Linked DNA regions of Cricetulus griseus. The protein of the gene in region 1 interacts with the protein of each later gene in a biochemical or structural test. Links are inferred from orthologs where the notes say so. Each region holds a gene or a part of one and is shown in the gene's direction. Other genes may lie near its edges.

The links. The genes of interacting proteins can lie anywhere in the genome.
Region 2: the proteins of Rps6ka3 (region 1) and Pea15 form a complex in vitro, tested with the Homo sapiens proteins (2 studies listed by BioGRID). The link is inferred for Cricetulus griseus from reciprocal best matches to the Homo sapiens genes RPS6KA3 and PEA15.

The regions. Positions count from the first base shown.
Region 1 is NC_048604.1:94,271,195-94,276,477, forward strand, and holds part of Rps6ka3 (ribosomal protein S6 kinase alpha-3), read left to right. Parts: intron 1-1,784; coding exon 1,785-1,874; intron 1,875-3,647; coding exon 3,648-3,806; intron 3,807-5,283. UniProt on the Homo sapiens protein: Serine/threonine-protein kinase that acts downstream of ERK (MAPK1/ERK2 and MAPK3/ERK1) signaling and mediates mitogenic and stress-induced activation of the transcription factors CREB1, ETV1/ER81 and NR4A1/NUR77, regulates translation through RPS6 and EIF4B phosphorylation, and mediates cellular proliferation, survival, and differentiation by modulating mTOR signaling and repressing pro-apoptotic function of BAD and DAPK1.
Region 2 is NC_048598.1:20,661,317-20,666,425, forward strand, and holds the end of Pea15 (astrocytic phosphoprotein PEA-15), read left to right. Parts: intron 1-1,047; 5' UTR 1,048-1,049; coding exon 1,050-1,221; intron 1,222-2,480; coding exon 2,481-2,636; intron 2,637-2,798; coding exon 2,799-2,863; 3' UTR 2,864-4,007; downstream 4,008-5,109. UniProt on the Homo sapiens protein: Blocks Ras-mediated inhibition of integrin activation and modulates the ERK MAP kinase cascade. Inhibits RPS6KA3 activities by retaining it in the cytoplasm. Inhibits both TNFRSF6- and TNFRSF1A-mediated CASP8 activity and apoptosis.

The DNA.
Region 1 (5,283 bases):
CAAATTGTTATTACTATGTAAAACTGGATACAATTGCTTTAAAGAGACATGAGTGTCCATAAGGCTTTCTATCAGGTACAATGATGAACCATATAAATGCATTTAACATGCTGGTTGCTGTTCATTGTTCTTATTGAAATCTAAAGAGAATAGAAATTTCAGACTTCTAACATGCAATGAGAAAAAGGGAATGGTGTACTTGATAGGCAGTTTAGGCATGTGTCTTGCCTCCATAAACACATCAAACATGTCCTGAGGGCCCATTTTAGAAAGATTGCTTTCACTGTGAGGCCAGCCTGAGCTACATGGTTAACTTAGAGGCTGATCTGGGCTACAAAATGAGAATTTGTCTTTAAAACATTTAACAACTAAAACTGATAAAGTAAAATTGAACCACAAAATTTGCTTCAGATTATTCTTTGAATAAATCTAAAGCAAAGTATGGTGGCACATGCCTATCATCCCAGCACTTGGGAGTGGAGGCAGGAGAAGTCAGGGGGATTTCATCCTTAGCTAAATAGTGAGTTTGAAGCCAGTCTCGAGTCCATGAAACCCTGTCTCATAAAACAAAGCCCAAATTGTTTTTACAAATATAGTACTTAGGGCTGGAAAGATGGCTTAGGGGTTAAGAGCACATGCTGCTCTTGCAGAAAACCTGGGTTTCCCAGCATCCACATAGTTGCTCACAGTAGTCCAACATCCACTTTTGATCTCTGAGGGCTCCTGCACATGCATGTACACACATATAAAATAAAATTATTTTTTAAAAGGCAGCACTTAATACTCTTCCAGCAGACCCAGTTTGAGTCCTGGAACCCATGTGGGAGTTCACAATCATCTGTAACTCCAATTCTGGAGACTCCAACACCCTTTCTGGCCTCAGTGGTCACCAGACATGTATGTGGTACACAGATAGATATACACATGTAGGCACAACACCTATACACATTAAATTTTAAAAATATGTTTGTATAGTACTTCAATATACTAAAAAATTAAGAAAAAATATAAGCAACTGACATAAAAGAGTTAAAATCTATGGTAACATTTTAAAGAGCTTTATATAGTAAATGTAGTCAACTAATATTCTAGGGTGGTTTTATACGGAGATTTTCTGCTTAGATTCAGAAATAAGCTTGTTTACTTAATTTTTGTAAGTAGCTTACAGCTAATGTGATAGTCCATTAAGATAATTAAAAGAAGTAAAGTTAGCTGGATGGTGGTAGCACACGCCTTTAATCCTAGCACTTAGGAGACAGAGGCAGGTGGTTCTCTTGAGTTTGAGGCCAACCTGGTCTACAGAGATAGTTTCAGGACAGCCAGGGCTACACAGAGAAACCATTTCTTGAAAAAAGAAAGAAATTCTGTGCAATAAGCAGATGCTAATGGTGGTATTGGAGACACATCTATCTCTTAGTTTTCTGTATTGATAGGTGATTAGAAGTTGAATTCTCAAATGTTTGAGAAATTCAAGGATGAAAAAAATGATGTGGTAACTTTGTTCTTGATGACTTTTCTTGAGGCTTTTGAATTTTAATAATTCCCAAATTTACTACAAACTTACCTTGAAGTGACCTAGTAGGAATGTGTCACATGCTTAGCCTTATATAGCCATCTATGTGGAGACTACCTTTCCAATGAAATAATCTGGGTAAGTACTTAACAACAACTGATTGGTAAATGGCTTGTGTGTACAGTGTTTACATGTGATGATACCTAAGGTCTATAACTAAACATTTATGGTTCATGTTCAAAAATATTTATGATAAATATCTGCATTTTAGATTATTGATAAAAGCAAGAGAGACCCAACAGAAGAGATTGAAATTCTTCTTCGTTATGGACAGCATCCAAACATCATTACTCTAAAGGATGTAAGTAGATTCTTTAACAAAGATCACTTGAAGCAGTTGTCAAACTCATATTTAGGATATTTTTCAAATATTATGTGGTAGAGAAAGACCACTTCAGAATAGTCAATTTAGAAAGTAAATTCGAATGGATGAAAGTAGAAATTATTATCTTGAGCTATGAATGATGAATACTGCATAGTCCTTCTCATATGAAGATCCTAGATTTTTTTTAGTGTGTGTGGGGGGGGTATACAAAAGTGGGGATTATAGGTCATGAAATCAGAAAGATGACCTTGGGAGTTGATGAATGTTGTTTAGGATGGGGATATGACTTGTAGTAGGAAGGAAAGGGCCAGCAGGACAGAGAAGGGAATATACTGGAGGAGGAGGATTGAGTTTAAAAAAAAACAGCATTTATGAAAATCTCATAATGTAACCCATTACTTTATATATTAACTTAAAGTAAATATAAAAAAATAGATTGGAGAAAAATATTAGAGGGACAGCTCAGTGGTTAAGAGTACTTGTTGCTTTCCCACAGGACCTAAGTCTGATTCCCAGCACCCATCAGGTGGCTTACAACCAACCACCCGTACGTGATTCCAGCTCCATGGGATATGATGATTCTAGCCTCCATAGGCACTAACACTCACATTCATATGTGCACACACACACATGTGCACACAGATGCATACACATGCAATTAAAAATATAAATAAATCTTAAAAATTAATAAAACTTTAAGAATATCTAATTTTCTGCTTTTTCTTTAAAAACTATTTTAACATTATTACTTATAGTATGTGAATTTGAACATATAAATATTAATATTCAAGATTTGTGAGTGTCTCTGAAGGCTCCCTATGCTATCCTCCCACCTGCCTTCCTCTGTAGCAGTTTTCATAGTTTTTTACACATCCTGTTATAGTGGGAAATTACCAATACAGAACCAAGTGGAAATATAAGGGTATTTAATAGGGAAAAGCCTTACTTACAGAGCGACCTAGCCAGCCGGCATGGCAGCGGTCTGTCCAGCAAGTACAAAAGTGAAGCTGAAAGAGAAATGCAGTCCCCTGAAAGTCTCACTCTACATCACCCTGACCACGCCCTCACAAGCATGGTCAGGCACACCTGTAGCCAGCCCCTAAGTAGGCATGGCTACAGCTTCCCCTACATCCTGTGTTCTGGCCATGCTTTATTTGGGATGTAGACTTTTTAAAACATGCGTATTTCATTTTCTCCAAGTGCTCTTTGAATGTGTCGACCTTTCGGTGGGAATATCATTTCCCTTTTTTACCTGGTTGACTGCAACAACTAAGACTCTGCTACAGGCTGCTTCCTTCCAGGAAGCCTTTCCTGTCCATTACCACTCCCAGGATAAGTGAGGTATCTTTTACCTGGGATGCCCTGGTACCTCTATCTCCTGTGGTTTTTATTATAACTGAATTTTGACAAAAATATCCCTGTCTCAAGTAGTCAGGTTTCTCGATTGTTGGTGCTCACATAGGCTCAGAGGCTGTCTAGATATTGTCAAAACTCTTATTTTCTCAGAATGATTTCTCTTAGATAAATGATGTTGTCTAAGTCTCATTAAATGTGAAACTACTCACTATAAATGACTCTAACACAATCTCCAGAAATCCTGTATTGGTTTTTCACAAGTAAATTTTTCTTGAACATGCAATTTTTGTATCTTTTAATATATTCACTTAATCTTTAGTATGTTTAAGTAGTAATTTAGAGACATACATAAAGCTTCAAATCATTTTTTATGTTTTTATTTAAATTGTATAGGTGTATGATGATGGAAAATATGTGTATGTAGTAACAGAACTTATGAAAGGAGGCGAATTGCTGGATAAAATTCTTAGACAGAAGTTTTTCTCAGAGCGAGAGGCCAGTGCTGTCCTGTTTACTATAACTAAAACTGTTGAGTATCTTCATGCACAAGGGGTAAGTCTTTTGAACATAATTTATGCACACACATACTTATATATGCATATCCTTTTTTAATACTCAAGCTAAAATTAAAATTATAAAAGTAATGGAAAACTGTAATGAGCTTCATTATCCTACTGCTTTTCCTTTATACAAACATTTTTCTTTGATCCTGAAGTACTTTGAAATCTTAGCATGCCTATATTGAGTTGTTATGCTCTTTACCCTTAAAAGCTAGCAAGTGGAAGGTGTTAGATCTATAGCTTTCTGGCTGTGGCTAGTCAATTTGCCTAGAACTGTACCTTGAAGTCGGTATAAGACAATATTTGTTGAACAACTGATAGCTTTACAGTTTCCTAAGTCATCTGTGTTCTTTTTCCCATGCTTTATCAGTTAATTAGGAAAATAACATTAATGTTCTGGATGTTAGGAACTAAAACTAAGGTGATTAGCATGTAGACTTGGAATTTGGTGATTGAAATACGAATTAAATCTAAACTCTTTTTAAAAAGAGAATGATTTTGTGTATGTGACATCTTTATTTGTACATCGAATAAATGATACTTTATTTGGGTTTGGATTTGAATTTTTTTTTGGTTTTTAGAGGCAGGGTTTCTCTGTGGCTTTGAAGCCTGTCCTGGCACTTGCTCTGTAGACCAGGCTGGCCTTGAACTCAAAGAGATCCACCTGCCTCTGCCTCCTGAGTGCTGGGATTAAAAGGATGCACCACCACTGCCCAGCTGTATTTGAATTTTTAAAATTACTATTATGTGGGCTGGAGAGATGCCTCAGCGGTTAAGAGCACTGACTGTTCTTCCAAAGGTCCTGAGTTCAATTCCCAGCAACCACATGGTGGCTCACAACCACCTTGAATGAGATCTTGTGCCCTCTGCTGACATGGAGGCAGAAGACATAATAAATAAATAAATAAATAAATAAATAAATAAATAAATAAATAAATAAAATCTTTAAAAAAATGCTATTATGTATACAGTATTCTGTCTTCATGTATGCCTGCACCCTAGAAGAGGGCGCCAGATCTTATTACAGATGGTTGTAAACCACCATGTGGTTGCTGGGAATGGAACTCAGGACCTCTGGAAGAGCAGCCAGTGCCATCTCTGAGCCATCTCTCCAGCCCTTGTTTTTACTCTTAACATGCTAGTTTGTGTCTTTATTGTTTTCCTATCTTTTTTTATTTTTGGATTTTCGAGACAGTGTTTTTCTATCTTGATATATGCTATTCCCTCACTTTAGAATAGCTTCATCTCACTGTTTTCATGGCTTGTTTAAAGTGTCCAATTTAGGTCTTAGGTCCGATATTATTTCCTCTCAAAACTGTCCCATTCTTTAAAATGGCTTATCTGAACCTGTCTTATATTCCTTTCCACTATGTTGCAAGTGCCTACCATGAAAAAGCCAGGATCTTATGAGTCTTACTTACAGTGTGTGCAGCTCTTTATATAATACACTGGTACATGGTAGAGACTGG
Region 2 (5,109 bases), on another chromosome or scaffold:
TTTAGCTATAGTTTCTACTTCAGTGAAGGGTGTCCTTGGACAAATGCTGTCCTCCCCGCCCAAGGATTAAGAGAGGCATTAAGTTAGACCTCTGTCAGGTCTAGCCTTGCCTGTGGGAGGCCAGGTTAAAGGTAGTATCAGAGGATGCTGATAAAAGGTTAGCATCTCCCTTCCTGCCAGACTCTGAAAGCTACATCTAAACTCCCCTCCCCCCATCACCCAGCCTGCCTGGGAACTGGGCAGGGGGCCAGAGCCAGCCGCTGCTTGGTATTCTTGGGCGCGGGGGCTGCAGGCACAGCACAAAGGCCTAGGAAAGAGGGCTGAGTTGGGGCCTAGTAAACTATCAAGGGAGAAAATGGGCTCCACAAAGGTGGGGGTGGCCCACTGCTCCCTGCTACCCTAAGACCTAATAATCTAATGCAGGGGGTAAGCATGGGAGGGACAGGGATCCATCAGACCACGTAACTAGGCATCCATCCAAAATGAGTCATTAATGGGGTGGTGGGAAGATGAAATGAGGGACCCCTTTGCTTCTGGTGAAGAATGGAAGAGAGAATACAGGGGCTTCAACCAAACCTTTTTAGCTTCTCACTGCTAAGCCAAGCCTGTGACAGGGGGAGGAGTTGTAGGTGGGTGGGGCAATTGGGGAGGGGGACTTGGAGACTGTAAGAAAGTCTGAAGAATGTTGCCATGGTAACCGCCTCCTCAGTCAGGGGAGCTGTTGCCAGGGTTACTGTTAAGGGAGGGAAAAAGAAAGATTGTGTGTATGGGGTGGGGGGGGGGGTAATGACTTGTCATTCCATGGTGGCTCCTAGCTTTCCTGAGTTTCTTCTTGTGTGTCAGGGTTTTCCTTGGCTCCCTCCAGACCTGCCCTCTCTCCTAAACCTCCACATTTTAGGTACACACCACCCTAGCAGGACAAAGTGTGCGCTCCTGTGTGTGTTGTTGAGCATGGGGGTAAGGCGCAGATAAGTCTGGGCAGTAAGTGAACCAGACCCACACACTAAGCTCAGCTTACTACTCTCCCTTTATTACTCTCCCCTCCAGTCATGGCCGAGTACGGGACTCTCCTTCAGGACCTGACCAACAACATTACCCTTGAAGATCTGGAGCAGCTCAAGTCAGCCTGCAAGGAGGACATCCCCAGCGAGAAGAGTGAGGAGATCACTACAGGCAGTGCCTGGTTTAGCTTCCTGGAGAGCCACAACAAGCTGGACAAAGGTTGTGGAGGGGGCTCTGTTCATTCAGCAAACAGAAATGTACACAACCCTCTTACACAAAGTGACACCTGATGACAGGGCAGGGTAAATGATAAACTCTGAGAGACTACGGGGTTTCCAAGACAGTAGTCATTAGACATGCTTCATGTATGGCTTTTATTAGTATAAAAGGGTTTTCAATACCCTTGTGCTACCACTGTATATAACAGGACATGAAAACAATTTAAAGTGGTAAAACTTAAAACCATGATTCTAATGTTTTCTTACCTACTTTCAGAGGGAGGGAGACACTGGATTAGAACAGTAACTCGCAGCTGGGGCTTGCAGGGTGAAATGGTGTGTAAGACAGTCCCAACTGCTGGCAGAGTAGCAGGTTAAAGTACTTGCCATGCATACCTAATGAGGGCCCAGGGCTCAAAGTGAAAGAGGCAAACCAACTCCTCAAAGTTGTCCTCGAACCTTCATGCTCATACCCACACTCACACACCATGATGATGTTAGACTCCAAAGGCAAGTGGGATTCCTAAGGTAGAATCCAGAGGACCTGTTTAAGCAAAGGAATGCAGTGTAGCTTAGCAGGACTAAAAGGACTGGGTCTAATTACAGGTAGCTGAGAATGTCAATCTTGAGTTACATGTGTGTGAAAAGTAAAGTAACCTCAGAGTTACTTTGTATGAACTCTTCTAGCTATAGTGCAGCAGACAGTATGAGGAGAACTGAAGGAGGATCTACCACAACTCAGACTATTGCCACCACTGGGGCAGGGGGCTTATGGTCTGATGGCACATATAATCTTCTCAAACCACCCTGATTGTGTCAGAGCTTTCGCTCCCTTAGTACGTCACTTTTCTTACTGGGCTCAGAACCTCTTTGATTTGGCTATAATCTCGTCCTGTTGCACGTGTGGTGTCTGGGAATTCTTCCTCATACTCATGTGGAAGGAAAGTAGAAAAAGGACAGGGTCAATGTGGGGTAATTTTGAAGGCAGCTTTTCTATTGTCCCTTCTTCGGAGGATGGACTTGATATCCAGCCCAAAGTCTTTATTTTCCATTTATGCCCCAGAAAATTTCATCGCCTCCTGTCCTTCCTAGGATCAGTCCTTGAAACTGTTTGGCTGCCGCAAACTTTAGCCCCTTCTTTCACTGTTGTCCCCTTGGATAACCAACATAAACAACTCAGGGTTGGTTCAGGAATACCAGTTTGGCAGGGTAAAAGTTGCCCTCTCTAGCCTAGCTCTGACTCAAGCTGCCTTCCTCCAGACAACCTCTCCTACATTGAGCACATCTTTGAGATATCCCGCCGTCCTGACCTACTCACTATGGTGGTTGACTACAGAACCCGTGTGCTGAAGATCTCAGAGGAGGATGAGCTGGACACCAAGCTAACCCGTATCCCCAGTGCCAAGAAGTACAAAGGTAACTGTAACTGGCCATGCCTTGGGCATAGCTACATTTCTGCTTTTCCCCTCTGACTATATTCTTAAGAGTGGAGAATCGTCCTGAATTTGGGGAGTAGAGACTGATGCTCAGTGGGCCTGCCTAGCAGCCCTGGACACACCCCATCTTTGCTTTTTTCAGACATTATCCGGCAGCCCTCTGAGGAAGAAATCATCAAATTGGCTCCCCCACCAAAGAAGGCTTGAGCAAAGGGGAGGAAGAGGAGGAAGGTTGGATCTTCATCAGACCACTCCCTTCCCCATCCTCAATGGGAGGGGCTAGGGCAACCCCCTGCCCCGTACCCACTTACTAACTTGGTCCTAACCCCCTTACTATGCGCGTGTGTGTGCGTGTTCACACGCTCTGGCTGTCTGTCTGTCTAGCTCATCTAGTTCCTCCTCCTCGTGAGGGGACTGGAGTCGGGAGGGGGGGGCTTAATTTCCCCACTATAGGGGGAAGTGGAAGCTATTTCTATGTAAATAGAAATGGGCACATTCCTCCTTCTCCCCTCCCCTCCACTCTTCCCGCATTTTCCTACACTGAGGAGCTAAGGTTAAGATGAGGTATGGGAGAGATGGTGAGAGTTAAAACCAATGGGGAAGGAAGGTAAGAGGCTACTCAGCCTCTACCTGGAAGGGGAAAGAAAACCCAGAATTCAGGGTTTGTAGATCTATGCTGGACTGGCTAGAATCCAGTTTCTTGTTATTCCTTAGGCTGAAGTCCTAAGAGCCAATAGGCCCTCTTTTATGCCCTTGTCATGGGCCTGGGATGGGTATGAGCCAGAAATCTTAATGAGAAGACCACTAGAGCCTTTCCTGGCCCCCAAAATCAAACCCCATGGAGAAGCCAGCATTTGATGTCCCCAACTTCTGCTCTGGAGAGACTATGCTGGGACCATGTACTACTGAGCCTGAGATAGGGATGCAGGTGGAGACAGGCCCAACTTCTACTCCTTTATTCCTAAATACAGACTGTTGAATATACTGACCCTGAGCCTAAGGAGGTTTGGGGGAATGAGATCTATAGGTTTTAACCTCAACCTGCCCATACCTACAGGGTCCCAATATGGATATTGTAGGTAACCTTCACACCAGTCTCCAGTTTAGAATACCCCAAGCAAGAAAGAAGTTAATCATAGTGGTTTCCTTTGCACCTATTACCACCCCAGTTCAATCCAGGAAGGGACTTGGTTAACCTTTCTCATTTGGGTTTGTGGATGCCTCCAAGCCAAGTCACTAGAGTACAGTGAGTGAACCCAGCCTCCTACCTGTCCCAAGATGCCCTTCCCCATCTTGACCGTGCTAACTGTGTGTACATATATATTCTACATATATGTATATTAAACCCGCACTGCCATGTCTGCCCTTTTTTTGTGGTTTTTAGCATTAACTTATTGTCTAGGCCAGAGCAGGAGTGGGAAGGGAATGCCACAGTGAAGGGAGTGGCAGAGCAAAATTGTTACATAGTCCAAACAGCATTGAAATCAACCACAGCAAACATTAAATTTACATGCAAGCTCAGAGACTTTTTAGAGGAAGCTTGAAGGTAGGAGCTTCTAGGGTGTGGGAGCAAAGCTCCACGGGGGGTGGGGAGTGGGGGGGCAGGCTGTCAGAAGAGGGAAGAAGCCAGACTGGCTAGCGTACCCCCAACTCCTAGCCCAGCCCAGTCTGCCCATCCCCCTGGCCACTGCTGCAGACACCTGCCTTAACACACACACCTCCAAGACTCCAGTTTTGCCTTAAAGGTCCTTCCTGAGACTCCCTAATTCTGTCTGGCTTTTCCTTTAAGAAAGGGGATACTTGTACGACTGGGAGAAAGGAAATCAGTATAAAACATCCTTCCATCTGGGATGGTGCATGAGAACAAGAGTGAGATGGAGCTTTCCTTATGGAGGAAACACGAGAGGAGAGAGGGTGCTTTTCAGCAATTTCTCTGTAAGGAAACAAACAAACAAACAAACAAACACTTTTAAAAAGACTAACCTGCCCTAATAGACTGACCTACCCTGCTACCTTTGTGCTGCTATGAGGTTGCCCCTAGTCCATGCTCCTCTGTCTGCAGCATGCATAGCCTTGTTCTAACCCTGGAATAAAGGTGACTGACTGTGCTGTACCTGACTGATTCTAGAATTCTGTGAGTCATTAAGAGTTGGGGAACCTCTGAATGACTGGGAGGGGATGTGTAGCCATGCCTTCCCTATTATAATTCACTTCTGTATAAAACATGGGCCTGGAAAACACCCCCAAATAACATGCCCCGCCACCTCTAAGTATCCCAGACCAGACTTTAGCAGAATCAAGTATTTATACTGGAAGGAACAAAAGTACTCTGTCACAAATAAATGGACCACATACCACACAAGCAGCAGTCGGGGGGGAAAAGCTTTACTGAGAAAAAATACAACAAATTCCAGAGTGCATGGTTTTAAGCCCACCTCATAATCCCCCTAGCA